Ovis aries: one gene and its partners. The protein of the gene in region 4 interacts with the protein of the main gene of each other region in a pairwise test. Links are inferred from orthologs where the notes say so. Each region holds a gene or a part of one and is shown on either strand. Other genes may lie near its edges.

Region 1 (6,855 bases), on a different chromosome or scaffold from region 4:
TTGACTTACAATTTAGCTTTGTGATGTTTACTATTATGTGCATGTGATTACCATCAACACAGTGAGCTTTTACAGATATAATTAATATAATGCTAATTTTAATATCATGAAGTCATAATTTAACAAAGACTCCTTTAACTCATCACCAAGTCTGATTTGTGCTTACCTAAATCACAGTAAACCCTCTAGGAGTTTCTGAAGTATGGCTGCCACTTTGAGAATCAAGATAGACAAGGTAGGCAGCTTAAAGGACAGTTCTCCCAAAAAGCAAGAGAAGGTAGCCTTGCCGTCACACCAGCAGTTACATAAATGCCCAAACATTAGCCTTAACTCTTGCATCTTGCTCAGGACTAGGGTAAACCTTGCCATTGTTCAGACTGACATGTTTGGAAACCAATGGTTCTGATTTTGAAAACTTCAGTTAGGTTCACAAGAACACCTGAGTGGCAGAAAGGGCAGGGCTGAAGCTGAACAGTTCCTGCCAGCCGCTTATGAGCCCCACGGGGACTCACCCACACCCACGCCGTCCTTGACGAGCACGGAGCAGTGCTGCTCCCAGCAGCTGCGGCAGAACTGGTGCTGGCAGGCCAGAGAGAGGAGGTTTTCCTTCCGCACAAACTGCATACACACTGCGCAGTGGTGAGGGGAGTGGGCTGGGGGCACCTGGAGGGAGGTACAGTGACGTGAGCCAGCCTGCAAGAAGGATCAGAACTCCACTGCCATGTGTGGGCTTTGTGAGTGCCAGTTCTGAGTGGAAAAATATAATATCAGGAAGGCTTCCCAAAGGAGGTGGTAGTGGAGCCAGGCTTGGTGAACCCTTAGATTTAGAGAGGGAGAGAGAAGATGGAAATGAGATCTCACAGTAGTTTATAAGGTCAGGCTGGAAAGACCAGGATTTCAGAGGTCATTCAATCTGCCTTCTTTTGGAGGCTACTAGGTTTCTTTTGAAAACTGCCCTCATTCAGCATGGCCAGAGTTGCTTCTCAACAAGTACTATAAACCCAGCCAATAGGTTCTTAGGGGCTGAAGTGTGAGCCTCTAATAGCTCCAGAACCCATTCTCTGCTACATAAACTCACAAAGACAGTCTGGGGGCACCAGCCAAAGCCACAAACCAGTGAAAGCCCAACATGAGGTTCTTGTTAGTTCACTGGCCATACAAAAAATAATTTGAGGAAAAGGACCATACTCTGTCTAGTATGCTTCTGGAAATTCTCTAAGAGGCTGCATAAGTTATGTGGTGATCTGAGCCCTAATTCTCCCCCATTCATTTGACAAATGCTGACTGAACTCTCAACAACAGGAAATCGCTATACACTGTAGGATATGATTCCTAAACTTAAAAAGCACTTAGTCTACTATGGGAGCTAAAAAGATATGAGTGAATCACTGCAATATACATGTAAAGGTTGAAACATATAATTAAAAGAGTTTGGAGGGAAGTGTTCCCAGGAGACAGGTTTTGGGAGACATGGCTTGGATTTGGGTCTTTAAAGGTGAGTTCCATTCTCATGAGCAAAGATGGGTACAGGATCTGGACAATCCCAGCCAAGGAAGGCAGCAGCAGAGTTAAAGAGGCATGCAGTGAACGGGCACCCCAAGAACACAGCAAGGACAGAGCATAGGCTATATATAAGTGCAGGAGACGGGTGAGGCTGGAGAGGGCAGGCAGCCATTCACTCCTCGTCTATGAGGAAAATGTCCAAATGATGTCGGAAATGGAAGATTTAGGCCTATACTGGAACAAGCATCTTGGGGATGCTGCACTATAAACAAAATAAGATGGTTCTCAATAACCGTGTGAGCCATAGCAAGAGCCACGTGTATCAGGAAGGGACACTCACATGTTTTGATGGATTGGGCTGAACTCGAGCCTCAACGAGCAGCTGGGCAGAATTAGACTTGTATCTACAAAGCAAAAAGCATAAAGGGAATCAGAGCTTTGGTTCTGGAGATATGGTGGTAAATGAGCTGACCTTTCTCTCTGAAGGTAATAAGCACTATGTCATGATGTATTTATTCCACTTGATGTGTCTGAAAGAAATACCTGGAGATATTGCCAAGTGTTATCTAGAAGGGCACTGATTTAACATTAATGATGGCATAAAAACTCTGACCTAACTTCACTGTCCAACAACAGGGGTTTGGAATACGATGGAACATCAATATGGTAAAATACTGTACCTTCATTAAAACTGGGGGTACAGAAAGAATATGCTGAAAACATTGGAAAATGTTCACCATATACTGAGAGAAAAAAGGCTATACAATATGACCCAGTGTTTAAAAAATATACTCTGCACACTGTAAGGATATTCTCCATAACACAGACAATTATTACCACTGGGTGTGCAGGCAGAGAGAAGTTACAGACAACGCCATCTCTTCCTCCCCCAAAACACCTTACCTGTCCAGTATCTCGGCAACTTGCCAGTGGAAATTAACTAATATAAGTTTAGCAACTGAATGAGACACCTAGAAAGAAGAAAAAAAGAAATAAAATTATAATGCAGTTGGGTTGTTTTTTTCAGAGTGCTCTTACATTTTGAGAAATGCATACATTTCTCTATACTGCAGGTCCAGGCTTGAATTTTAAAATCTTCCTCTTGGTTCTGTTTTATCTTTTACGTTCAGACTCTTAGAGTCTTAAGCAATTTCCTGGATCTCTCGATTTTTCAACCTTTATTTTCATTAGCAACCCTTCAAAGAAATTAGTTTCATTTCAAACTTACACAAAACCATCCTATCTACAGTAAATAAGGACCTAGAATCCAAAGTAAGCAAATGAGCTGTAAGTTCCCTGATGTGATTTATGTTTGCTGAAGCTGCTGTAGGAGGCCATACACGAGCACCTCCAGGTAGGCATGTTACTTGCAGAAGCTCTCCAGGCTTGAACTTCTTATATAAACCCAGAAAAACAAAACAAAACAAACAAAAAACACCCCTGGTTAAAACCTCTGCCTCTATAACAAAACTATTCATCCACAAAGACTACTATCACAGAATGAAAACAGAGACAAAGTATTTGGTATAAATGTTAAAATTTGCTTGAGAACAGCTTTTGGCTACAACTATATTTTTACAACCTGAAAATTATATTGTTTTATTATTTATTTTTGGCTGCAGTGCGCCGCTTGTGGGAGCTTACTTCCCTGCAGTGGAAGAGTGGGGTCCTAACCAATGGACTACCAGGGAATTCCCAAAATGAAATTTCTTGACCTTCCCAAAAAAATAGAACTTCAGCACCATACCTGGTCTGATCCCTTGATCTCAACAGCACTAGCAACAGCAACAAAGCCTCAGAATTAGCATCAGCCCCTCCATGTATGGAAAACGACACAGGCCTCCGCTGAAACTGAAAATTTTACTGATGACTACAAGTCCACTAATGACCAACTCAGAATATTCCAGCAGAGTTCTGGTGAGAATGGATAATGTGAAGAGAGGATGTGTCTCAGTTCAGTTCCGTCGCTCAGTTGTGCCCGACTCTTTGTGACCCCATGGACTGTAGCACACCAGGCTTCCCTGTCCATCACCAACTTCTGGAGCTTACTCAAAATCATGTCCATCGAGTCAGTGATGTGTCTAGTGCTTCATAAAAGTGAACAGATGTCCATCTATTCTTTCAAAGCCAACTGCTGAGGATTATCAATACATACAACACTACAGGCACACGCACCTCCCACCAGCCTTCTACCGGAGGCACTGTGAGTGCCCATAGCGTGGCCTCAGTGTATCACAGACTGCCAAGGCCTCAGTCTCCCCCAATTAATCCATTATGAATGTGAAGGAATTTTAAGACCATTAATTAAAGCAAAATATAGAATGATGGCACTCTGCCCAGTAATGGACACCAAGGAAGACCTACAGGGAAGTCAGGATACAAAGGGCCCTCTGAGCAAAAAGCCAATATATATAAATCACAAATGTGTTTCTACATAGCAGCAAATAAAAATTAAAATTTATTGATAAAACTAAACTGTATTGATAAATATATTTTATTTAACCCAATATATTAAAATATTTCAACATGTTAACGCACTGAAAATTATTAATGAACTACATTTTACATCTTTTTTTTCCATCTAATTGTTCAAAGTCCATTGTATTCAGAATTATAGAACATACCAATCCAAACTGGCCACAATGCCCAGTGGCTACATGTGATTGCAGCTACCAGAATGGACAATGCAGCTAGACAGAACACAGCAATCAAAATTAATCAAAATCAAAGCAGGGGTTAGGGTATAAATTAGTAGCTGATCCTAAAATGTATGGAGAGGACCCTGAATATCCAAAGCAACCGTGAAAGAGCAAAGTTGGAAAAGACTTACACCATCTGACTTCAAGACTTACTATAAAGCTACAGTAATCCAGACAGTGGGGTACTGGCTTAAGGACAGACATATCTATAGATCAATGTAACAGAATAGTAAACTCATACACTTATGATTAATTTTCTACTAAGGTACCAATGTAATTCAACAGATGATAAAACAGTCTTTTATCAACAAATGGTTCCAGAATAACTGAACATCACTATACAAAACTCAGAACTTAAAAGCTTAGTTCATGTCACACAAACATTTCCTCAAGACAGTTCACAGTGTTAAATGAAACTGAAAACTATAAAACTTTCTGAAGAAAATCTTTGCAATCTTGTTTTTTTAGGTACAGATTTCTTAGCTATGACACTGAAAGCACAATCCTTAAAAGAAAAAATATGATATACTGGAGCTCATCAAAATTAAATTTCATTCTTCAAAAGACATTATTAAGAAAAGACGAGCCACAAAATATATGATTTGCAACAGAAAAAATAATTGCAAATCATATATCTGATAAAGGACTTAATTCAGAACATATAAAGAACTCACATAACTCAAAAAGCTCAACATTATTAGTCATTAGAAAGAAAGCGAAGTCGCTCAGTCATGTCCGACTCTTGGCGACCCCATGGACTGTAGCCTACCAGGCTCCTCTGTCCATGGGATTTTCCAGGCAATAGTACTGGAGTGGATTGCCATTGCAAATTAGAACTATAAGATACTACTTCACACTCACTAGAATGATACAGAAGACTGACAATACCTAAGTGCTGGCAAGCAAGTGGAGAACCTATAACACTTATATAATGCTGGTGGGAATGTAAGATAGCAGAGTCTCCTCAGAAAACAGTTTGGCAGTTTCTTAAAATGTTACATGCGATCCCACTGCTAGATATTTATCCAAGTGAAATGAAAACATGTCCATGCAAAACCCTGTTATACAAACCATCACAGCAGCATATTTCATAAGAGCCAAGACCTGGAATCAACCCAAATGTTCATCAACTGATGAATGAATGAAAAAACAAAATGTGGTATATATCCATAAAATGGAAAATCCTCACTGGGCAGTAAGAGGAAAGCATTACTGACATGTGATACAGCATGGATGAACCTTGAAAACATGCCAAGTGAAAGAAGCCAGACACAAAAGACTACATACTATAAGATTAAAGTCACATGAAATTTCTAGAAAAGGCAAATCTATGCAGACAGTAAGATGGTCAGTAGTTTCTTGGGACTGGGATTGGGGACTAACTACAAATGGATATAAGGGAACGTTTTGGCTGATGAAAATGTTCTGTAACTTGGATTGTGGCGATGGCTGTACATTTGTTCACATTTACTGCAACTCTTCTACTGGTACACTCTAAAATGGATGAGTTTAATGGAATGTAAGTAATACTTCAATAAATGCTAAAAATAAAATTGATCGATGGACAGACACATGATAAAGTAAATGCAGGAAAAAGTTAGCACCTGTATAATTTAGACGGTAGATAAATGGATACCTACTGCACAATTCTTTAAAAGTCTTTGTATATTTTAAATTTTTCATGAAGTTGGAGGGAAAGTTTGCCAGCTTTAATTCAATGGCAATCTTCTGAATAAACAAATGTCACAAGAAACAGAGAGTTGACCCTTACACCACTGCCTCAAAATAGTTCATTTTGATCTTTTATGTACTCCTGAGAATGAAAACATCCCCCTCAGAGTTTTGAACATACATAGTTCTGACCAAAGATTAACTGACTAGACAATGTGAATTTTAGTATAAGCAGGCCTGTAATGCTAGTAACTTCACAACACTCCGGCTCCCTCTAAACCTCCCACACCAAGGCCTCGAGGGAGGGAGGGAAAGTAGTGGTACACAGTTCATCAAACACTGCAGGGTCCTGAAGTCCCTGGGTGGTCCAGAGAAGGCTTTCAGAGTCAAAGATGGAGTCAGAACACGGTCAAGTGTAGCCCATCTTCCTTGCCTTTCCCTGTCATTCCCTGTGCCTTCAAACCTGACCCACGATGGGTCAGAAGGCCCTGGAGAGCATCCTGTGAAGCTTGAAAGGACCGTGGGGTCACCTCTGTCATCATCCAGCCTGGACTCTGCTCTGCATTGCCCATCCAATCTGGCTTGGCTTGGATGACATTTTCAGTCTCAACACCCTCAGATGGTTTTCAGATCTTTATTTCAGGAAGCACTTGGCTACGTGAATGTCAGAAAGGACTTGGCCATTGGACATCACTATTTCCCAGAGGTTGCAGGCAAACTTCTGTCATTCTCCGTAATTTGTGTTTGGGAGAGATCTTTAAAAAGCTACTTCCCAGATACAGGCCCTCAAAACATGGTCAGTAGTTACCACCTGTGCAGACACCTAAAGGCATAGACAACTGCTGGGGAGTCAAGCTCTCCTTTCTGTTTTTTTAATAAACAATATATAAAGTGTCCATACAATTCTATCCCGGCTTCACATGCAGGGTTTGGCGGGGTGGGTGGGGAGGAGGTGGACCTGAGGGGGGAATCCTGGACAGCA
Region 2 (7,616 bases), on a different chromosome or scaffold from region 4:
ACATGATATTGTGATAAGCTTACTCTGAACCTTATGGAGTACAGGACATCTGGGAGGTCAAGTTTTAACATCTGCAAAATGCCTACCCTTCTGAAAAGCAAATTTATTTTTTTCTTGCCTTCTTTCTCTGTTCTCATCACCACTATAAGGTAAGGCCCAAGAGGCGGGAATCCATTCCCAGATTTCCTAACAAAACTTTCAAAGAAGGTAGAAGTGAAGATGAGAATAACAACTCAATGACATTTTTAACATTGTAATTTTACATTCATCATCACAGGTCCCTCCCCAACCCCACCACTGTGCCCTGCCCACCTCTTTTTTAATCAGTGGTTCCCTGGCCTCCCACAATTATTCACACAGCCCTGCTGAATAATTTTCTTCCCCCTGTTTGGTATAACAACAAAGCTCAGAAGCAGGAAGGAATGCCACTTACAGGCAGGTCAGACAGTGATGTAATTAACAGATCAAGGAGAAGTGTTATTTCAGAAAGCCCCATGGAGCAAGAGACCGGCTGATTTCCTGGGTCATGACATTACCAGGAAACTCCAGTTACTAAAGAATGAATATCTAAACCAAAATGTTTTCTTCAAATGCATAAAAGTTTGTATAAATATTACCCTCTCCTATGAAACTTAAAAGTTTTATAGAGACATTTTATAGATACAAATTTAAAACCAGTTTGGGGAAAGAACTCTTCCATCTCACACTAAGTGAGGTGCAGGGATATGTATTTTTGTACGTCTCTGCCAAATCAATTTCTCAAGGAATAAAATACAGGAAAATACAAAGTGCAGGAAATAAGGTCAACCCACAAAGAATCGAATTCCACACATGGAATGTGGATGTAAAGGTCATTAAACACAGTCCCCACTTATTAACAGTAAACTAGTTGAGAAGGTTGTCATCAGAAAGTTTCATATAAGCATCCTCAGGGTTTACAGCTTCAGCCACAAGTCCAACAAAAAAAGAAATGAGATGGTCTTGTTCTACCTTCCCAAGAAAAACAAAGAATGAGCTGACTGAAGGTCTGAGACGCAAACTCGTGATTGCAGAGGAATGAGAAACCAATGAGACACAGCTTTCGAAGCATGTTCTTTGACACCACAAGCCATACAATTAGAAATATCCCCAGCTATGAATAAGAGAAGTGTATTTTACTTAGACCATTGTGCTTTCAATCTCAGGAAGGGATTCAGTCACGGATGAGAATTTTCTCACTTCATGCTGCAAAAGTATTAACCACTTTCACTCTCTTTTACACCTTCCCATTTTTTAATAACTACTGTAGCACAATACATTAGGTTTAGAAGTACTCATAGACCAAGTAAATAATAATTTCCAATGATAACAGAAACAAAACATTAGTACAAGACCTCCCACAGAGGCCTAAAGGTGACAAAACAAATTAAAACTTAAAATAATTAAATAAATTAACTTAGGTGGGCCTATGCCTCTTCAAATTACTTAACACTCAGGTGACATCAGGGAAACATCAAAAAGAAAAGACATAATTGAGATGACAAAATTCAAAGTATTTTTCACTCTCAGGTAAAACAACATGAATTAAAAATTACCATTCTGGTCCAAAGTCACTCCCAAGCCTATGCAAATTCCTTCAGGACAGAGGCTACATCATATGCGTCTTTATGTCCTCAGCCTCCAGTCCCTCAACACCACAGAAGATAACTTATCTAATGTACGTGGAGGAGAGAATATATTCAGAGCCTGATTCTCATCTGTAGTCACTTCCAGCAATTCAAAAGCTGAAAAATACTGACAATCTGTTGTATCAAAGGTGCTTCAGTAAGCCAAGACAGGCATCCCTGAAAAAGAGTCTCAGTACTCAGGAGCAGTGGCTACCGATACCCACTCCCCAAGCTCAGCTTGACCTAGTTCCCATCTCCAAAGCAATCAGCTGCACAAAGTAGGTTTAGTCCCCAAACTGTCTGGACTTTGTTCCTCTAGCAACATCTGGGTTCCGCATGACTCCTGACCTCTACCTCAAACTAGAGATTCCAAACACTAAGAACTTCACTCAACAAGAAAGTAGAATCATAAGTCAATCCAGGAGACAGGCAGAAGCCGAGACTAGTAAAAGACACAGTACAGAGGAATGAGTCTGGTGTCCTTAACAATGTTCCTGGAAGTGTGTTAGTGGCTCAGTGGGGTCTGACTCTTTGTGACCCCGTAGACTGTAGCCCACCAGGCTTCTCTGTCCATGGAATTCCCCGGGCAATTATACTGGAATGAGTTGCCATTCCCTTCTCCAGGGGATCTTCCTGACCCAGGGATCGAACACGGGTCTCAAAAAGGAAAATTTAAATATAAATATAAATTTATCAGATTAAAAGTATTTGTATTACGGAAGACAAAAGACAGCTTGCAGAAACGTTGATGGTCTTACTATACAGCTAAAATAAGCTTTTTTTCTTCCTGATAGAGGATACTTTCCTCTCTGCTGCAGGGTTTGGCTCTGAAAACCTGGATCATAATCTGGAAGACCCAAAAACTAATTATTATGTTTAAAAAAAGACATCTCTTAAGCTGACCTAGTTTGGAAGCCTGGATGCCTTTAAATTGCCAATGAACTGAAACCATTCATGAGAATGGGGCTTTTGAATGCTGAGAATGTTCTTTGGGGCTCAGCACAAAGATATTTGGCATAGATGATTGTAAATATTTGTAAAACTCTGGGTAAATGGACAGTGTTTGACCACACTCAAACCTCATGTCCAGCACAGTACTGTAGAAGCAAGTTATCTGGGGTGATTGGTTTGGGGGGAGGCAGGGAGGGGGTTGGTTGAGGGACTTTTTTTTTTTTCTGTTTGTTTTAAATTTATAAAAGCCCAGCAATTCAATTCTGCTACAGGACATCTTTTTACACTTTCTATACCTTGAATTTGTTTACTCATCAAGACAGTTCCAATTAGTCAGAGGCTCCTTTTGGAACAATTTATTTTCTTTCCCACTTTTCTAACTTTATGCCCATCACAAAGAATAAAATCCCAGTCACAGGCATGCAAAAGGAAGGCAGGAGTTTTATGAAAACGTGGCCTTGGATTTCCTAATACAATTCTCTCCACGTGGCCTTGTGGATGGCTATAGATATTTTTTTTTCTCCTTCTCTCTCCTGCTCAAGATATCTTCAGAAATACCTAAGGGACTGCTACCCATGAAAAGGACTCGGGCTAAAAAGGGAGGACAGAGGAAGGAGAAGGAGGGACCAACAGAGGGGTTAGATGTAAAAGGGACTGGGGGCCAAGAGGCTCATCTCAGTGAAAGCTGCAGTAGTCCGATACTTTAGCCAGCAACTCACTGAAGACTGGCTTGGGTTCCTTTTGCCTCTTTATCCGCGCCCTAAAAACTGAGTCATGGCAAGGTTCATTTATTTTGCTTCGGGGCCTAGACACCCCCAATTGGCTGCTTCAGAAATGTTAGATACATTGTTCTTTAATTCATACCTGGCAACATTCAAATAAACCTCCAGAAATGCCAAATCAGAAGAACACTGCTAGCCTTACTGCCAGCCTCAGCTAATATTTTGATATGATACATGCAACAGAAAGTATGAAAAAAGTGAGACTGTTGTGCAAGCATGAAGAGAGAACATATTGCCAGAAAGGGGAAATCATTTCTGAGAAATCTAAATGTGAGAAGTACATTCAAGAGTAGACTGACAACAGAATCTCTGAAACTCCTTGTAAGAAAAACAAAAGGTACCCTGGAAGGGGTCAGCTAAAGATATCTTTTCTCCACTGATAGAGGGATCAGTTTCATTTTAACTTCAGCTTGAGAACAGCAGTGGAAGATCAAAGTTTCACCCTGTTTTACCCGCAATTACACAACAAAATAATCAGCAGAATGTATGACCAAGATCCCACGGATAACATCTTATCCATATGTAGGTATGTCAACCTACTGGCATGCATTCCCAAACAGCAGAAGATAAGTATCCGAGATTCTGCCTACTCTGGTCTCCAGCTGAAGACACTGGGAGGTCTGCTCTAATCTTGAATTTTACAATACATTCTGCAGAGACTAGTTTTACAATAAATTAAGCTCCTTCCTTTTTGCCTGTAAACGGAGAGCTATTTTTGTAAAGTTCACAGGTGTTTCAGGCGTTCAGAATGAATCCGATTCCGCACGGTTTCAGCACGAGAGGCAGAAAATAAAGCTAAACAACCCAGATATCCGAGTGAGTCTCCCGTCCCTTTTTCTTTTCTTAGTCCAACCCCACCGCTGTCTTGCAATGCCTGCAGCACTTAAAAAGCTGCCTAAACCTACCTGGCCGGAGAGCTCCGTTCCTCCCGGCCGCCGCCGGGCTTCTCAGCAGCCTGCCTCGCGCACTCCACCAGCCGGGGCCGCTCGCACCCCGGGGAGGAACGGCTGTTCCATGCCCTCCGTCTTCCGCCCTGCTCTGCGGCTGACAGCTTTGCGCTCTGCAGGATTGCAACAGGGCTCGGGCTCCCAGACCGATCCGGCCGGAGAGGGAGGAGGAGTCCCTCGAACCGCCTCCTGCCTCGGGGCGCAGCTGCGCTGCCCGGGAAACCTCGCAGAGCGCGGGACGCAGCACCGCCAGCAGCAGCAGCAGCGACAGGAGCCGTGCGTTTATTTATACAGGAAGCTCAAGCGCGCACTTCCTACTTCCCCATCTGGGTCGCACTTCAGCTGCAGGTGATGGTCTTAACCCTGTCTGAACCCGGCGGCCCGCGCGCCCCAGCAGTCCGGCCCTCCTGCGCTCGCTCCGCTTAACAAGACCTCTCGTCCTCCTGGGACGCCCGCTGCAGACAGCCAGCATCATCAGCCCCTGGTATCCTTCCTTCCTCCCAGACCGGGACACTTCTTCACCTAACTGGCTTCAGAACTTGCTGCTTCTCCTCTGCACGCGTCCTCCCGGGACACCTGTCTTTCCCTTCCCTCCCAGCCCTCCTTCCCACCCTTTCGGAACACTTGCTTCTGTAGAGCCAGTCCCCATGCACGTCTCATCTAAAAACATCGTGTACCTGATTTGTCCTTTAGAATCTAATGATAAAATTAGAACGCAGGCAAATCAAATCAGGACAGTCTTCATGGACCTCCTATAACACAGGCACACTTTTAGGGAAAAAACTGATTTTGCCGGAAGTGCTTTGCCAACAAATTACGTAGGGACTGCTTAGTAACCTAACAGGTAAGTACTCCAGCTAAAGGCAATGTAACAGAGTAATCCAGAAGCTGCGGGGGTGGTGGGGGGGGGGGGGGAGGTCTTATGAGGTCTTCTTCACTCCAAAACCTCAGACACTTAGTTTGTGCGACGTCTTTAACAGGTTACCTACCGACTCACTCCCCACACCCCCAGGGGTCACCATCACAGTCCCAACTCTGTCGAACTTCCAGCGTCGCAGTTTAGAAATGTCCCTCCCCAGACGCGGGAACCTTTCTGTGCTCACTCGGCACCCTCACTCGACTTTTGCAACCACAGTCGGAATGTGCTTCCTAAAAGGAAGGGACTCGCAGCCCTTTGTGGAAGGAATACTGAGCCTGCCAGTGAAGGATCAGCAGTCGGCACGGTGCCAAAGGACACAAGCGAACTGCCTCTGGGCTCTCTCCATGTTGAAGAAAACCTTGAGGTCAAAGCCAAGTGCGGAAGAACACAGTGTATCTCTGTGTATGATGGCAGGACAGACAGGAGGACCAGTTTTGTTTTTGTTCGAGTGACTGAAAACGACGGAAAATCATTCTCCTACAGTTCTTGAGCCCAGAAGTCCAAAGTCAGGGTGTCAGCAGGATTGGTTGCTTCTGGTGGCTGTGAGGGAAAACCTCTGTGCTTTCTCCTAGCCTCTGATGGTTGCTAGCAGTCTTTGGTCTTCTTAAGCTTGTGGCTGCATCAGTTAACCGATGCCTCCATCATCACATGGCTTTTTCCCTTGCATGTCTCTTTGTCCACATCTCTCCTATATTTTTTCCTATAAAGACACTGGTTATGGGATCTAGGGCCTGTCGTAATCCAGTATGACCTCATCTTCATTTGATTACAAGACCCTATTTTCAAACAAAGTCACATTCTTAGGTAATGGTAAGAATTTTAGGGGATACTATTCAACCCAGTACAGTACAGTATGTAATAGAAAACTTTAGATTTAAAGGATAATTCATTTGAAAAAGCTAGTTTCACAAAAGCACATTTTTTTTTAATAAAAATAGGTTTTCGAGGTTGATAAACATCTCTTTTCATGGACTTCCACTTAAACCATTATCAGAGTTCTAAATGACAGGTTATGACCAATATTGTTGGAAATTATTTTCAAGTACTATTACTTGTAGGGGTATGTGTGTGTGCTCAGTTAGGAGGAGGACCAATCTTCTAGGGGGGAAGGAAGGGAAGGAGGACAAGGGAGATAAGATGGTAAGAGAACATACAACAGGGTCCCAAAAAATAGAACTGAAGGATATTTGAGCTTGAAAAGTCCTAACTAGTTTAGTCCAGGCATTTAGCTTTAAAGATGAGGAAACTAATGTCCAGGGAGATTTAAGTGGTCGACTTCAACCAGGTATGGGCAGAGCTGGAATGAGACCTAAATCTGTGTTAGATGAAAAAGGTATTTGTTAATGAAAACTGCCCCACAGGTGTCTAACTTAAAATTTAGCATTTACCAGTGTAAATGCTTTAGCAGACCCCAGATAGCCAAAGCAATTTTGTGAAAGAGCTAAGCTGGAGGAAATCACATCTCCTGATTTCAAACTATATTACAAAGTTATAGTAATCAAAACTCTTTCAGATCCGCCTAACATAGGTTCTGAGATAATCAATGTCAAGGTATTTTCTTGGTGTAGTGAACATTATTGATGGGCAGGAATCAGGAAAGATAAACAAAACACCCTTTAAGAGGTTACTTTATTCATCAATGCCAGTACAAAACTTTGGTGCCTTAAACCAAAGTTCAACACACAGTCCACTTTTTCCATGCAATTAAGCTATAATCTCTTGTCAACAGGATAATGGATGAAGCTGCTGCTAATATGAATGAAAACACGGGTTAAGCAATAATCATGCTATCTGCTGCTGCAAGTGGCAGATGGGAAGAAAAAATATATTGTGTAATTAAATAATATCAGCATTGATTATTTTCAAGTTTATAAAATCTGCATTCAACTTTTAATAGGACTAAATGAACATGTAGAACACTATAGTATTATGTGAACAATTCTTTCAGATCTGGAATAAAATATTTAAGAACAAATGGAACCAAGGAGGTGAAGATCTATATACTGAAACCACAGACACTGATAAAAGAAATTGAAGAAGACAAAAATAAGTAGAAAGACATTCCATGCTCATGGACTGGAAGAATTAATATTGTTAGGATGTCTATCCTACACAAAGCAGTCTACAAATTCAATGCAATCCTATCAAAATTTCAATGGCATTTTTCCATAGAAATAGGACAAACAATCCCAAAATTTGTATGAGACTACAAAAGACCCCAGAGAGCCAAAGCAATTTTGTGAAAGAACAAAGCTGGGGAAATCACATCTCCTGATTCCAAACTCTATGACAAAGTTACAGTAATCAAAACTCTTTCAGAACTGCCTCATGAATCCACAGTGTGCCCTAGCCTCTCAAGCATGAATTGATC
Region 3 (7,497 bases), on a different chromosome or scaffold from region 4:
GTGCCAATAGTGAAGGTGAGACGCTGGTCAAACGCCTTGCGGAACAGGGTCAGCACCTTGTTGCCCTCGGGGCAGTCCGGGAGGTAGGCCACCCGAGTAGTGCCAGGATACCGAACTCCTGGGTTTGGGTGTTCAGCCTGGGGGAATGGGGAGGCAGAATGAGCAGCTGTGCATCTTAAGGCCCATGGAGGGTCGTGGTGGCCAGCCTTCTGGCTGTGCACTCCCAGCTAATGCTGCTGGGGCAGTGACAGCCTTCCACGGAAGGACCAGCTCTAGGGTCTGGGCACCAGAAGCCTGTTTCCAGACAAAATTCTCATCATTCAGAGGTTCTTTCTGCTCTCCCAATCCCGCAAACAACAAACGATTCTTGAAACTGACGGGAGGTAAGCTGGGCCTTACTCTCCAGATAACTCAGCAGAAATGTGAAGACAGAATCATTTATTTTTCAGCTTTCCCTTCTCCACCTGAAAGTACTCCCAGTGCATTTTCCACTGTCTAACCTGTTCCATTTTTGAATTTCTCTCCTTCAGAGCTCCCTCATCTTTCTGCAAACCAGAACTGGACATTACTCTTTGTCAAGCAGGAAAAGACACCTGTAGGCTCTTGACCACTACTGTTTTAACCTTTGACTGTCAACAAAATTTTCTGTCTCATAAATCTGAAATGGAGTTAACACTCCCAGCACTGTTGAGGGGAGGTCTGACTTTTCCCACTGTGCTGGTCTGCACCTGAGCCGCCATCCTCACAGGCTTCACCTCTGCTGACAATAGCTGTCAACATCCAAGTTCATCAAGGAAACAGAATTCGATTCCTTTCTTTCATACCTGATTTTCATGGGTGCCTTGGGGTCGTGGGGATGGAAAAGCTAGGCTTCAAGGGGGCCTCTTGCTCCAGGGCACTGAGCTGAGCGGGAAGGCATCCCAGGAGACAGCACGACTATATCACATCTAACAACCATACTCCCCTCGCACCCAGTTTTCCTAAATCAGAGAACAATCAGAGAACAAGGAGCCTGGGGAAACCAAAGGGTAAGGGCAGCCACAGTCTTCTTACCCCCTGGACACCGGGCGGGAAGACGTACTGGATGACGATGGTGCCGTACTTCTCATAGCTGGGTAGTAGGAGTGTGGCATCCTTAGAGACCAGCATCCGCCCGTTCTGGGGCTGGTTGCCCACCAGCTGCCCATAGAAACGGCCACACATGGGGCAGGCCTTCTTCACCTGCAGGGCCCGGGTAATGCAGCCCTCGCAGAACGAGTGCCGGCACTTCTCCAACGTCTTGGCATTCTGGATCTCTCCCAGACAGATGGGGCAGGTGCTCTCCTGCTCTTCTGTCTCTTCTCGAAGGCGGGGAGGAAGAGGAGGGGGTAGCGGAGGAGGAGGTGGGGGAAGCCCCCGGGCCCCTGGGGGCAGAAGTGGGGCTGCTCGGAGAGGGGGTGGGCCTGGGCGGTGCAGCTCAGGGTGCTCCCCTCCACCCCCCAAAGCCAGGCAGCCCATAAGCTCCCCCTGCCTCTGAGCTTTCTTGAGCTCTTTCTCTGCCTCCTTGAGCAGCCCCTTGAGAGCCTTCCTGGCCAGATAGAGCCCATTGGGAGGAGCTGGGGGAGGGCCCTGAGGGGAAAGCTGGAGAACATAGATGTCAGAAGTCTCGCCGTCTATGAGAATGGACACGTGGTGCTCCTCCCGAAGCCGGGCCAGCCGGGCAGGGGTCTCCTTGCTCAGGAAGTCCCACACAGGCTTGGAGACAGTCACTTTGTTCTTGCAATTGCCTCCACAGGCTGCCATTCTGGACAGGACGAACGACACTGCCCCCAGGGTAAAAGGGACTCAGGGTGGGGGGGTCCCCATTTCACAGATATCAGTGCCTCCTACTTCCCATTCCTTTCCGGTCTATATTACCTCTACTCTCTCAGAGCCCAACCCCCATCTCCTCCCCCAAGTTCACGTTCTAGTTCCTCCCATCTTTCAAACTCCAGCACCCTCTGAAGAGCAAGAAAGCTGCTCTAACTTTATTATCATCTAAGGTAAGCATCAGTCTTGGTTCTACACTCCTCCCTAGAGCACAGAAGCATCCTGGCCCTCCCCAACTCTGGACTGGGTTCTGTAAAAGGAAAGGAGATTTCAACCCTCCTTTTTGCTCACTTTGATCCTGAAGAGCTTAGAATTGGCATGCAGGCGCGCGCTCTGTCCCCACTCCCTACTTGTAGGTTGTGTGACCTGGTGGGTGGAAAGGAAAAGGAGTGGAAAACCCCTTCTCCCATTTCCACATGCCCCCACCCAGCAGCCCACAAGACAGACAGAACCTGGGGGTAAATCTCCTGGGAATGGGATTACTAGGAACATGGAATGAAGGAAACCAATTTAAGGGTGAAAGTTGAAGTTTCCATGAAAGGCAGATACCTGGAAAGCCCATGGACGGTGACAGCAGAATTCCCTCTGTTTCCACATTCAGCTGACCAGGACTAGGGGAGGGAGGGGGGGAGGGAGGGAGGAGGGGTTAGGATGACAAATATTACCCTTTCCCCCAGTCAGCCCAGAAGCAAACAAAAACTCCTCCATTTCCTCTCCCTGTCTTTTGCAGAATTTCATCCTCAGCCTCTGGCCAAGTTCCTAAAGAAGGAACTTCAACATGCTAACTTTCCTCTTCCTCAGCTCTGGGCTCTTAAGAAACCTAGGGACACAGATTAGAGAAGTCTGGAAGGGAAAAGCCCACACACAGAGAGGTCTGTTTTGCCACCTCCCTCAGATCACAAGGACAAGAATATCTCCTTTGCTCCCCAGCTTCTCGCCCTGCTCCACATTTTGCCAATAATTCAGCTCCTAGTGCTAGGGTGCCTTCCTTGAGTGTTAACCCAGTCCCTTCTGCTGGAGTCTGTTTGGAATGCGGACCAAGTGGCAGAAGCCCCTGTAATAACGAAGTTCTCGCTGTCACCTTTTAAACCCAGCACACAAAATCCAGGCCTGCCAGCAACCTAGGCTGCATTTCAGGAGGGGTGGAGCTCACACAGGGGATCCGCTGGAGCACCCTGATATTCTCCACCACCACCACCCCCTCCCTGCCCCAGTCTTGCTGTGTTCAGCTACAGAGCTATCCCTACAACACCTCCAAATGCGGCCCAAATAGAAAGAAGGGCCATTAGTGTGACCTCAATTCCTTGACTGATCCAAAAGGGAGCAGCTCTCCGTTTGTGCCTCCTTCCCAGTCCCCTCAAGGCCAGATGCACCTCAAGATTCATAAAGCGAAATCGGAACCCTAGAGCCTCGGCTCTTTCGGTCCATCCAGGTGGAACACCCCCTCCCCATCAGAGTGAAGCCAGGACCTAGGTGTCCTTTGCTCCGAGTCCTGCTGGCACAGAAATGGGAGGCGGGGCCACAGTTTTTGCTGGGTCCGACTCCTCTGGGGCAGCCCAGGCCGGACACGGGGCCAGTCCCTCCCGCTCGAGAGGGGCCGGCGGACAGGGGCAGCCAGGAAGGGCCAGGGTCCCTGGGGGCATCACGGAGGCATCTCCACCCCTCCCCCCCACGACCTCCTGCCAGACGCGACCCGGAACCAACTCCCCGCATCCCAGGCTCGGCAAAGCCCCGGCAGCCCCACCACTGGGTGGGGATGCATGTCGGCCGGATAGCGGGCCCCAGAACCCCCAAATGGAGGCCAAGGCTGGAGGGTAACAGACGGAGGATCGGCGGGGCCGGGCCCGGACCCCCGGGGTCGCGCGCAGGAGAAGGAGACCGAGGACCGGGCGCAGGGGAAGCGGGAGGGCGCGCGGGGGGTGCGAGAAGGGTCCGGGGGGCGCGCGGTGGGTGTGGGGGGCGCCGGGCTCACCTACCTCTCGTCAGCGCCGCCATTGCCGGTCACATGACTGAGGCTGTTGCTGGGATGACGGTCTGGGCCTTAGCAACAAGGGCGGGGGTGGGGGGAGACCCCGAGAAGGTGTGGGGGGGGGAGAGTTTGCAGGGGGTGCAGACTGAGGAAAAGGGAATGAAGGAGGATGGCTCCCCCTTCCCCCTCCCAGGTGATAATCACCGTTTCCTTTGACCCCCTTCCATCCACAAGCCCCTGCCTTCCGCCCCAAAACAGAAATGGAGGCGCCGTCCCAATCTTTGGAGGCGGGGGTGGTGTCGTGGAGCCCAGGGTAGGAGGGTAAATCCCTTAGAGACGCTACCCTTCTCGCTTTCCCCTCCGGAGAGGGGCCCTCTCTCCCTGTTCTTTGCCAGCCAGCTGCGTGGCAGCTTCTGGAAGCTGGTGGCAGATGGGTGGGTGAGGAATGTTGGTTTAGGTAGGTGGGGAAGAGGGGGCAATTTCTCTGTGATCCTTTTTCTAGAAAGGCCTTTGAGGAATAGGAGGTAGGAAGAAGAGTCATAGTAAAAAGCATTGGTTCTAAAAAATAAATCCAGGACTAAGACGTTTCCCTTCTTTATTGCTTGCCTTTTCCTAGATTGTTACCTTCTGTCAAACCTGCTCTCAGCTGGGTATTGATCTCTGATTTTTCTCTTTACACTGAGGCTGGTGCAGAATAAGTGAATACATTCTATCCAAAAAAAATGCCTTGGAGTGATGGTATCAAGTCTATAGTTGAAATAGTTAAAAACTCACAAATCGAGGAGGGAGGGCTGGGGGTAGGGACCGACCCTCTTATGCTTCCCACATCAGAGCCAGCAGTCTCCGCACCCAGTCCAACTCACTTCCCTGGGGCCACATCAAGCCAGGTTTTTCCAACGGTCAGAAGACCTCCTTGGCCAAACAGTACTGGATAGATTTCTCACACTGGCAACAACCTCTGCTGATCCACCCACTTTCTTCACTCCCTCTCCAGGCTGGATGGCTGGTCACTTCCTTCTTTACTTTCCCAGGATCCTGATGTACTCTTTCTGTCCTCCACACAAAGGACATCTTTCCCAGGAAGCCTGGGGAAATACTGGATTCCTTCTGCTTTAGCTCACGTGTGCTTGGTGCTGTTAAGACTCGCTCACCTTTAGAGATGTGTGATCTAGCCCAGAACCCTGGGGAAAGGGGTGGAGGGGGGTCACGTCACCTCAATTGTCCCTGACCCCCCTGTACCTGACTCCCGCAAAACTGGGGAATGTCTTCCATTCCCATGCACACTCCTGGCCACCTTTTAAGCTCACAGCCATCTATCTTGAAACCCACGTCCTTAGGGACCCAACACCTTAAAGATCAGTTCTTTACATGTCACTGCACCCCTAAGCCCAGGCTTCCAAAAAAGAGGAGTGGGGGAGAAAAAGAATTTCTGTGAAGAAATTTGAATTCAATAATTTATTTTCCTTATAGTGACAGCAATGGGAGTAAATACACGAGATCTTTTTATTAATAAAACAAAAAAGATGAAAAACAGAAGCAACAAATGAAAACCATAATGCTTATGATACATCAGCCAGAAATGGGTCAGAAAACCCAGTTCTAAACAAAGTTGCTGGTGTCATGGAGTTTTATTGCATTCAACAAGGGAAAGGTAGACGGTGGAATGAAAAAGACCCATGAGGCTCCTGACAGGAAAATTTTATAGGGGCTCCAATCCTCAACCGGGGACTCCTCTTGTTACTTCCTTTGGAGAAGACGGAGGGGCAGGAAGAATTCTCCTTTATGACCTCATGACTTCTTATGAGACAGATCAGTCCAGGCAGATACAGAGCTGAGAGTCTTTGTATTCCTAGAGGCCACTTGCTGGTGCCCCATCTTTGTGTTCCAGAGAAATGCAGAAGCCTCAGGGGAGATGCAGAATCACAAGATGAATGGCTGCCTGAGGCCCAAAGGCATTGCGGGGAAGGGAACTATCCCAGCTCATCAGGGTCCATTGCATTCTGAGAATATCATGCATCAGCTCAACTCTCTTTGGAGGGGGCTGGGTGACTGAGTTATGGCTCTGACTCCTCTCTGGGGGTGGAGAGTGAAGATGACAAAGAGGGCCATCTGTCCCCTGAGAGACACAGTAGCAGTTAAGATGGACAGAAAAGAACAGAATAACAACTCCAACTGGGAAAAGGTTTGAGAAGGGGCAGGGGAGGAAGTATGCTAGGGGCATACTTCCGAGGAGTGGAGGAGGCATCCCCATGTGAGACTTCCATTCTCTAGAGATGATGAGGGTTAACCCAAGTAGAGGTATTCCCTTCTGCTGGGACTAAAACCTCCGGGAAGGCTAGACATGAAGAAAGGAAATTTAACACAGGGAGTGAACCTTACACCCTTGGCTCATCTGTCCAGCCTCCAGAACTGACCACACCCCCACGGAAGGGTTCTGGCCCTAGGAGGGATGTGAGGTCCTGGTGAAGAGCAGCAGCAGTCAAACAGCTTCACCCAAGATTCAACACTATGGCCATCTCTAGTGGGGGTAGGTGGAGTGAGGGAAGAGATCAGAGTAGTCCCCCTCAACAGAGACCTCCAATTCCCTAAATAATCACAGGAGTCCTCATAGGTCCCACCTCTGCAAGCTGCCAGCCCACCAACCACTCTCCACCCCACCTGGGTAAGACTGGCCATATCCCAGTGTATGTGTGCATGCTGGCACCCACATCTGTAGTGTCTTGAAAATCTTCCATCCCAGGGCCTATTGGGAAGGAAGCATGCCACAACGAGTTCTATAAAGTTATCAGCAAAATTCAGATACTCTTAGCTCATCCCACACAGCAAAGTGCATCCAGAGTAAGTTGCTTGAGCCAGGTCCATCTGTCCAGTCAGGTCTTGAAGATGGCCAACAACCCCCTTCCCCCAGCTCCTCCTCTGTTATGGAAACAACAGGACATTTTACAAAGATCAAGGCACTTGGGAGAGAGTCAACAGTAAACACTCTAATGAAGCAAGCAATTTGGTGGGGAAGGGAAAGAGGGAAGGGAGAGAAGGGAAGGAAGGGGAGGGAAAACAATGAATCGGTATTTCTGAGGGCCAGGAAGAGCCTACTCAACAAGATGGAGTTATTTGGATGGGAGGAGCCTGTAGCCTGAAGTTAGCAAAAGAGGAAGAGAAGTTAGTGGCCAGAACATCCACAGTTTCCCCATGCCTCTCAGGCCCCCACCACCTGAAACATAGGGCAGCAGTCACCATGAAGTCAGGCAGTCTCCTAGGCAAAGATGTTGGTAATAAAATCCAGGAATCGCTTAGCATACTGCTCAGGGTGGACAGTAGAGATCTCTGCCCCTGCCTGTGAGAGGAAGGTGTGGAACAGGGTGTCAGTCCCCACAGCCCTCCCCTGCTCCCTGCCCTCCCCTTCTTCCCACTCCCAAACATTTCCATACCCAGCCCTTCATCCTTCTGCCACCCCACTGCTCTGGCACAAGAGGCTCTTGAATAGTCAAGACAGGAAAGGAAAGGCTTCAGGGAACCCTCACCCCATGCTTGACAGTTTTGGCTGCGTGAGCTGCTTTCTTCTTGGCATCATACTGTGTCAGGATGTCAATGAGGCCCATGAAATATACCTCCTTCTGAGGGGCCCCTGGGGAGAGAGACCAGCGATGAAGACCAAGTATAGCTCCAATTCCCTCCCCCCA
Region 4 (6,855 bases):
CGAATCCCAGCTCTGCCGTCTGCCAGCTCAGGTAAGAGCTCAGCTTTCACAGGCCCGTGTCCTGATGGGGCCGATGAGAGCACTATTTCAAGGGGCTTCTGGGGGACTGAATGAGGCTGATGTGTTAAAAATGGCTGATTGCCCTGGGTTAGAAAGTTCAGGTTCTCAGTGGTGCAGGGACGTATGTGAGACCAAGTCCTCAAGGGCCATCAGCTCCATTTTTGTATTCCTGAATTATGATTAATCCAGTATAATTCCAATTTGTCATCCATGGATGTACACCAAAAATACCATCTGGAAGAAAAAAGTGACTTTTTATGCTGGAGAGGGTGGGTGGAAGAGAAAACCCTCCTACTTTGTTGGTGGGATATGTAAATTGGTGAAGCCACTATGGAGACCAGTAGGAGGTTCCTTAAAAAAATAAAAGTAGAGTTGCCGCACGATCCACCAATCGCACCCGAGCATATACCCAGAGAAAACGCTAACTCAAAAAGCTACGCACACCCCAACGTCCGCAGCAGCACTGCTTACAACAGACAGGACATGAGTGCGACCTAAATGCCCACCGACAGACAAGCGGGTAAAGAAGACGCGGTAGACACGCACCGGGAAACAGTACTCAGCCGCAAACCACAGTGAAAGGACGCCATCTGCAGCAACGTACGGATGGACCTGGAGATCACCGTATCAAGCGAAGGAAGTCAGGCAGAGAAGGACAGATACCGTATGATATCCCTTACATGTGGAATCGTAAAAAGATACACGTGAACTCACGTACAAAGCAGAAACACTCACAGACCCAGGGGAAGCAGGAGAGGAGGGCGACACCAGGAGCTAGAGGTGAGCAGATACGAACTGCTGCACGCAAAGACAGTCAGCAAGGCCCTGCTGTGTCGCCTGGGAAACCACTCAGCACCTGTGATAGACGCAGTGGGAAAGAGTGTGGAAGGAACGCATATTCACGTGGATCCCCGGATCACTTTGCTGTGTGCCATAAACCAACACGACATTGTAAATGAACCGTAAAAGTAAAGTGAAGTCGCTCAGTCGTGTCCGACTCTTTGCAACCCCATGGACTATATTAGCCTGCCGGGCTCCTCTGTCCATGGCGTTTTCCAGGCAAGAATACAGGAGTGGATAGCCATTTCCTTCCCTCAAAATTAACCATACTTCAGTTAAAAAAAAAAGTGAACTAAAAAGACACCGTGTGAAGCTTTCAGCGCAGTGTCAGAGTGCCTGCTGAAGCGACGCACGTCATCGCTAGGCCCGCCCTTCGGCTGTGCTTACAGCACCGGACCTTGCGTCCACCACCAGTCCCATCCGCAGCTGCGGACTGTTTCTGCTTTGGCTCTGGCCCTTCGTTCTTTCCGGAGTTATTTCCCCACTGACCTCCAGTTGCATGCTGGGCACCTCCCCACCTGGGACGTTCCTCTTTCAGTGCCCTATCTTTTTGCCTTTTCATACTGTTCATGGGGTTCTCAAGGCAAGAATACTGAAGTGGTTTGCCATTCCCTTCTCCAGTGGCCCACATTCTATCAGACCTCTCCACCATGACCTGCCCGTCTTGGGTGGCCTCACACGGCATGGCTTAGTTTCATTGAGTTAAACAAGCGAATTCAGCGAATTCAGTCACTCGCTCACGTCTGACTCTTTGCAGCCCCATGGACTGTACAGGCTCTTCTGTACATGGAATTTTCCAAGCAGGGATCGTGGAGTGGGCGGCCATTCCCTTCTCCAGGGGATCTTCCTGACCCAGGGATCAGACCTGGGTCTCCTGCGCTGCGGGCAGACTCTTTACCATCTGAGCCCCCAGTGAAGCCCTGGTAGTTTCTTGCCTGGGAAACTCCGCGGACAGAGGAGCCTGGGGGCTACTGTCCCTGGGGTCACAAAGTCCGGCGTAACTTAGTGACTGAACGGCAGTAAACAGGAGCCACCGACACGAAAGTGGCCCCGTGACCCCCGCCCCGACTCGGTCTGGGGCCCTGTCCTGGCGGGACCCAGCCCACCTTGGCAGGTCTTGGTGCTGGCTTTCCAGTTCTTCTTGTTGATGAGGGGCAGGCACACCCTCCCGTCCCTGTCCACGTTGGGGTGGTAGATCCTGGTGGTGAATTTCACCGTGGGGGGCTGGAACGGGTACTCCCTCGGGAAGCTGATGCACAGCCTGAAGGCCTTGAGGTTGTAGGGTGGCCTCTCCTGTGCGAGAGAAGGAGTCATGCTCTGGGCAGAGGCACCGCTGCCCTCCTCCCCCAGGACCTGGGCCTGGCTCCCCCTCCCCGCCCCGCCCCAGCGTCCCAGGCTTCCTCTGCTCCACTCCGAGGAAGGACCGTGAATGCAGACACAGACGGCACGTGCACCCACGTAGCAACTGGACTGTGCGTCAGAGCCCCCTGGCCTGGCACTCCCACGAGTCAGATCCTGGCTTCTGCTGTGTGCCCGAGGGCCAGCTGCCTCCCACCCCTAAGCCTCAGCTTCCTCCCTTGAGAAATGGGTGCAGTTTGACTGGAGACATCCTCAGGACCACCTTAGCTTCTTTTTATTATATCAGTAATTAACATCTTTCCAGTTTTATTGAAAAATAACTGATACACATCACTAAGCTTAAGGCGTCGAGCTTGATGGTTAGATTCACATATGCTGTGAAAGAATTACCACAATAGGTTCAGCTGACACCCATCTTCTCATATAAAAAAACGAAGAGAAAGAATAAGGAAAAAAAAATTTCTCCTCGGGGTGAGAGTTTTTAGGATTTACTTTCTTGACCATTTTTCTAGGACTTGTCTGGTGGCCCAGTGGTTAGGAATCCGCCTGCAGACATGGGTTCGATCCCTGGTCCAGAAAAATCCCATATGTCCCAGAGCAACTAAGTCCATGAAAGTGAAGTTGCTCAGTCGTCTCTGACTGTGTGATCCCATGAACTGTAGCCCACCAGGCTCCTCCATCCATGGGATTTCCGGGGCAAGCATACTCGAGTGGGTTGCCATTTCCTTCTCCAGAGGATCTTCCTGACCCAGGGATCGAACCTGGGTCTCCCGAATTGCAGGCAGACGCTTTACTGTCTGAGCCACCAGGGAAGTCAGCTAAGCCCGGGCGCCACAAGCACTGGGTCTGTGCCCTAGAGCCCGGGAGTGCATATCCCGAAGCCGTCTCGCCCTAGAGCCGTGCTGCACAAACCGAGAGTAGCCGGCGCTCACTGCGACTAGGGGAAAGCCTCTGCAGCGACAGAGACCCAGCAGAGCTTAGGCAGTGCATACTATTACGGGTATTTTACCACCTTAAAACAACAATTCGGAACCGGAGTGCCTAAGCGTTGCCAGGAGCCAGCAGAAGACCCTCTGCTGCTGCCGCTGCTGCTAAGTCGCTTCAGTCGTGTCCGACTCTGTGCGACCCCAGAGACGGCAGCCCACCAGGCTCCCTCGTCCCTGGGATTCTCCAGGCAAGAACACTGGAGTGGGTTTCCATTTCCTTCTCCAATGCATGGAAGTGAAAGTGAAAGTGAAGTCGCCCAGTCACGTCCGACTCTTAGCGACCCCATGGACCGGCAGCCTTCCAGGCTCCTCCGTCCACTGGATCTTTAGCAACTGGAAGGCTTTCCTGCACCCGTTCTGTGCTGCCTGCTGCTAAGGGCTTGACACGCATTAGCCCATGCAGCAGGGTGTAGGGGTTACGTGGGCTTCAGGCCACGCGGCTGGAGTGTGAGCCGTCGCTCTGTCAACCCCATGCCTGTGCGACCTTAGGCGAGCTGCCGAACATCTCTGTGCTCTCCTTACAGAGAGTCACAACCTCCTCCACAGGGCTTGCCCGACAATTAAATGAGTCGATTCACTTTTCTTCTAAGGTAGTGAAGAGTGCACCAGCTTATTTTATTTTATTTTTTTTTTACTATTTATTTATGTATTTGGCTGCACTGAGTCTTAGTTGCAACATGCGGAATCTAGTTCCCTGACCAGGGATGGAACCCAGGTGCCCTGCGCTGAGGAGCACAGGGTCTTGGCCACCGGGCCCCCAGAGAAGTCCTGTGCTAATTCACGTCAGGGATCTAGAATATGGCCAGGCACATGGCAAGCACTCCTTATGTGTCAGCTCTTAGGGTACGTACTTTGAGAACTCATAGTATTAGCATCAGGATTTCCAGAAGAAACAAGTTCAGCATACACAAGTGACCTGCCCAGGGTCACAGCAACAGTGCCCGATGGGGACTCAGCACGGTCGACTGGACTGTTCCACACGGGAGCAGTAACCCACACCCCTAGTGGGGGGGACCCCAGGGCTCGGATGAGCCCAGCACAGCACACAGGGGCCTCCAGGCTGCTGCGAAAGCTCCAAACCCTTTCAGAACCTTCGTGGCAGAGAAGGCAGGAGAATGACCGTCAGGACGACATACGTGGGACTTCCCCGGCGGCCTGGAGGCTAAGACTCCGTGGTCCCAGTGCAGGGGGCCCACGTTCGACCCCTGGTCAGGGAGCCGGATCCCACAGGCCGCAACTAAGACCCGGCGCAGCCAAATAAATAAGCCTTTGAAAAAAGAATGACATACGGAAGTTCGGAGTGAAGGTTTTAAGAAATTCCCTCTTCCTGAGCAGAAGGCAGAAAGGGAGCTGTGGCAGTCATGGGTGTGTCCGAGCAAATGCTGGGCAGATAAAGAACATGTGTTCTCGATACCGTGCAGAGGCTGGGGCTGGGGCACAGACCCAAGACCAGGGGTGAGGCCTCAGCAAAGGGGGGGCTCTAGGGCTTCAGCAGTCGTGGCAGGTGGGCTCCGGCACTGTGGGCCCAGGCTCTAGACCACAGGCTCAACGCTTGGTTGCTCCGGGTGTGTGGGATCTTCCCGGGTCGGGGATTGAACCCATGTCTCCCGCACTGGCAGGCGGATTCTTTACCACTTAGTCAACAAGGAAGCCTTTTGTTGTTGTTTTTGATGCTCTTTGTCTGCCGAAGCTTCCATGACAGGCTCGGTAGCTACTGGCTTGAAGAAGGGGTCTCCGACTAAGCCCAAAGGCCTTTTAGCCTCTGCATCAGTTGGCCTGGACGTCAGAAGCAATCAATGTAGACAGAGACACCTCTGCCAACGATTATCTCCAGTGAAAAAAGGGTTCTATGACTTCCCTGATGGGCTAGTGGCTAGGACTCCACCCGCCAGGGCAGGGCACACGGGTTCCTCGCTGGCCCGGGAAGACCCCACATGCTGTGGGGCAGCTAAGGCAGTGTGCTGGTTAGTGAGCCCGTGCTCCGAAGCGAGAGAAGCCACCCCAGTGAGAAGCCTCGGCACCCAACTAGAGATTGGGGCCCAGTCGCCGCAGCTAGAGAGCGCCCGCGTGCAGCAGCGAAGTCCCGGTGCAGCCAAAACTAAGAAGAAAGGACTCTCAGGCAGGAAAGTCCTTGCCCGGTCCAGCCCTCGCGGCCCCAGCCCCGGCCCTAAGTGGTCCAGTCCCAGCAGGCCCCGCAGACACTCACAGGCAGCAGCAGCGCGTGCCACACCAGCACGTTGTCCTCCTCGCTGCACAGGTGCCGCAGGTACTTGGGAAGCTGCTTCTGCAGGTCTTCCAGCTCCTGCAGGGGCACAGAGCGGGCAGCTGGCCGAGCCTCCCCTCCTCCGGCACCCCGCCCCCCCCGCCCCACAGCAGACCGTCCCCAGTTCCAGGCAGGACAGAAGCCGGCATTCACTGCGCACTGTGTGTCCGGCCCGGTGCTCAGGGCCTTAAGTGAACTGCCCGGTCTTTAGCTTCACTCCAGCTCTGTAGGTACCAGGTGGAGGATGATGCACATCACCAGGTCTAGATACTGTAACCTGGGAGTAAACCTCTTGGGGCTCAGTGGTAAAGAATCGGCCTTGGAATGCAAGGGACACCTGTTCGATCCCTGGGTGGGAAAGGTCCTCTGGAGAAAGAAATGGCCACCCGCTCCACTATTCTTGCCCGGAGAATCTCGTGGACAGAGGAGCCTGGCAGGATACAGCCCACGGGGTCGCAAAGAGTCAGACACGACTGAGCGACTAAATACCAGCAACGCAGCTCTCTGAGGAGCCTTTCCTGCAGAAACCGAGGCGCTTCACGTCTGTCCTCTGGTTCTCCTCCTAGGGAGCCACGCCGCCCTGCCTCCCTCTACCCACTGGTGAGCAGGATGGCGACGCGCCCTCACCGTGCCCGGGGCAGGGCGGGGGCAGCAGAGACGTCAGCCTGCCCCTGTCAGACTGCCCCAGAGCAGGCCTGGGGAGGGGCACCGCTCAGGCAGACCGCACCCGAGGAGAATGCCACACGCCGAGCAGGGAAACCAGAGGACGAGCAACGACTCGCCTGCCCAGGAAGGCGGCCCGTCCCCTGAGCACCACTGAGCTCTCCCAACAGCGTCTTCCACGGACCCGCCACTAGGGCACGGGCCCCTCGAGAGCTTCACTGGAGTGGTGGAAGGAAGACGCTGTGATTCTGTGAATAAAGTGTGGACACATCATAGGAGGGGAAAGGAAACAGTGGTCGCTTAGTCGTGAAAGACGCCGGGATTCTTGGCCTCTGGAGGAGACGAGTTCAATCCCGGGCCTGTGACGAGGCTTGATCGCGCAGAGCTTTTGTGTCATGAAGTTTTATTAAAGCATAAAGAGATAGAGAAAGCTTCTGACATAGACATCAGAAGACGGCAGAAAGAGTGCCACCCTGCTAGCCTTTAGCAGCACGTCATATACTATCAGCAGGCTGCTAACTGGGGACAGGAGATGTCTCAAACCTCAGAGCAGCACCAGGCCCCTCACCCGCAGCATGCCTTCTGACATGATCCTGGCACCAGATGGGTCATCCTGGGCCATAAAGCGATTGACACGAATCCTGAAGAAGGACAGGTTTCAAGGAAATACATAGTTTCATTAAC

Evidence for each region.
Region 1: the proteins of UBE2L6 (region 4) and ARIH2 interact in binary tests that used the Homo sapiens proteins (3 or more experiments, as listed by UniProt). The link is inferred for Ovis aries from reciprocal best matches to the Homo sapiens genes UBE2L6 and ARIH2.
Region 2: the proteins of UBE2L6 (region 4) and RNF144B interact in binary tests that used the Homo sapiens proteins (3 or more experiments, as listed by UniProt). The link is inferred for Ovis aries from reciprocal best matches to the Homo sapiens genes UBE2L6 and RNF144B.
Region 3: the proteins of UBE2L6 (region 4) and DTX3 interact in binary tests that used the Homo sapiens proteins (3 or more experiments, as listed by UniProt). The link is inferred for Ovis aries from reciprocal best matches to the Homo sapiens genes UBE2L6 and DTX3.

Annotation. Positions count from the first base shown.
Region 1 is NC_056072.1:51,056,697-51,063,551, forward strand, and holds part of ARIH2 (E3 ubiquitin-protein ligase ARIH2), read right to left. Parts: intron 2,475-6,855; coding exon 2,407-2,474; intron 1,908-2,406; coding exon 1,844-1,907; intron 664-1,843; coding exon 513-663; intron 1-512.
Region 2 is NC_056073.1:38,532,811-38,540,426, forward strand, and holds the start of RNF144B (E3 ubiquitin-protein ligase RNF144B), read right to left. Parts: upstream 3,939-7,616; 5' UTR 1,578-3,938; coding exon 1,575-1,577; intron 1-1,574.
Region 3 is NC_056056.1:162,059,081-162,066,577, forward strand, and holds the start of DTX3 (probable E3 ubiquitin-protein ligase DTX3), read right to left. Parts: upstream 3,860-7,497; 5' UTR 3,825-3,859; intron 2,460-3,824; 5' UTR 2,398-2,459; intron 2,215-2,397; 5' UTR 2,169-2,214; coding exon of another isoform or gene 2,141-2,168; coding exon 2,140-2,140; intron 1,803-2,139; coding exon 1,054-1,802; intron 981-1,053; coding exon of another isoform or gene 866-980; exon of another isoform or gene 138-865; coding exon 1-137. Other genes in the region: PIP4K2C (phosphatidylinositol 5-phosphate 4-kinase type-2 gamma), read right to left, coding at 7,071-7,151, 7,339-7,442. UniProt on the Homo sapiens protein: Regulator of Notch signaling, a signaling pathway involved in cell-cell communications that regulates a broad spectrum of cell-fate determinations.
Region 4 is NC_056068.1:79,631,989-79,638,843, forward strand, and holds part of UBE2L6 (ubiquitin/ISG15-conjugating enzyme E2 L6), read right to left. Parts: intron 5,548-6,855; coding exon 5,452-5,547; intron 5,022-5,451; coding exon of another isoform or gene 4,984-5,021; exon of another isoform or gene 4,547-4,983; intron 2,194-4,546; coding exon 2,007-2,193; intron 1-2,006. UniProt on the Homo sapiens protein: Catalyzes the covalent attachment of ubiquitin or ISG15 to other proteins. Functions in the E6/E6-AP-induced ubiquitination of p53/TP53. Promotes ubiquitination and subsequent proteasomal degradation of FLT3.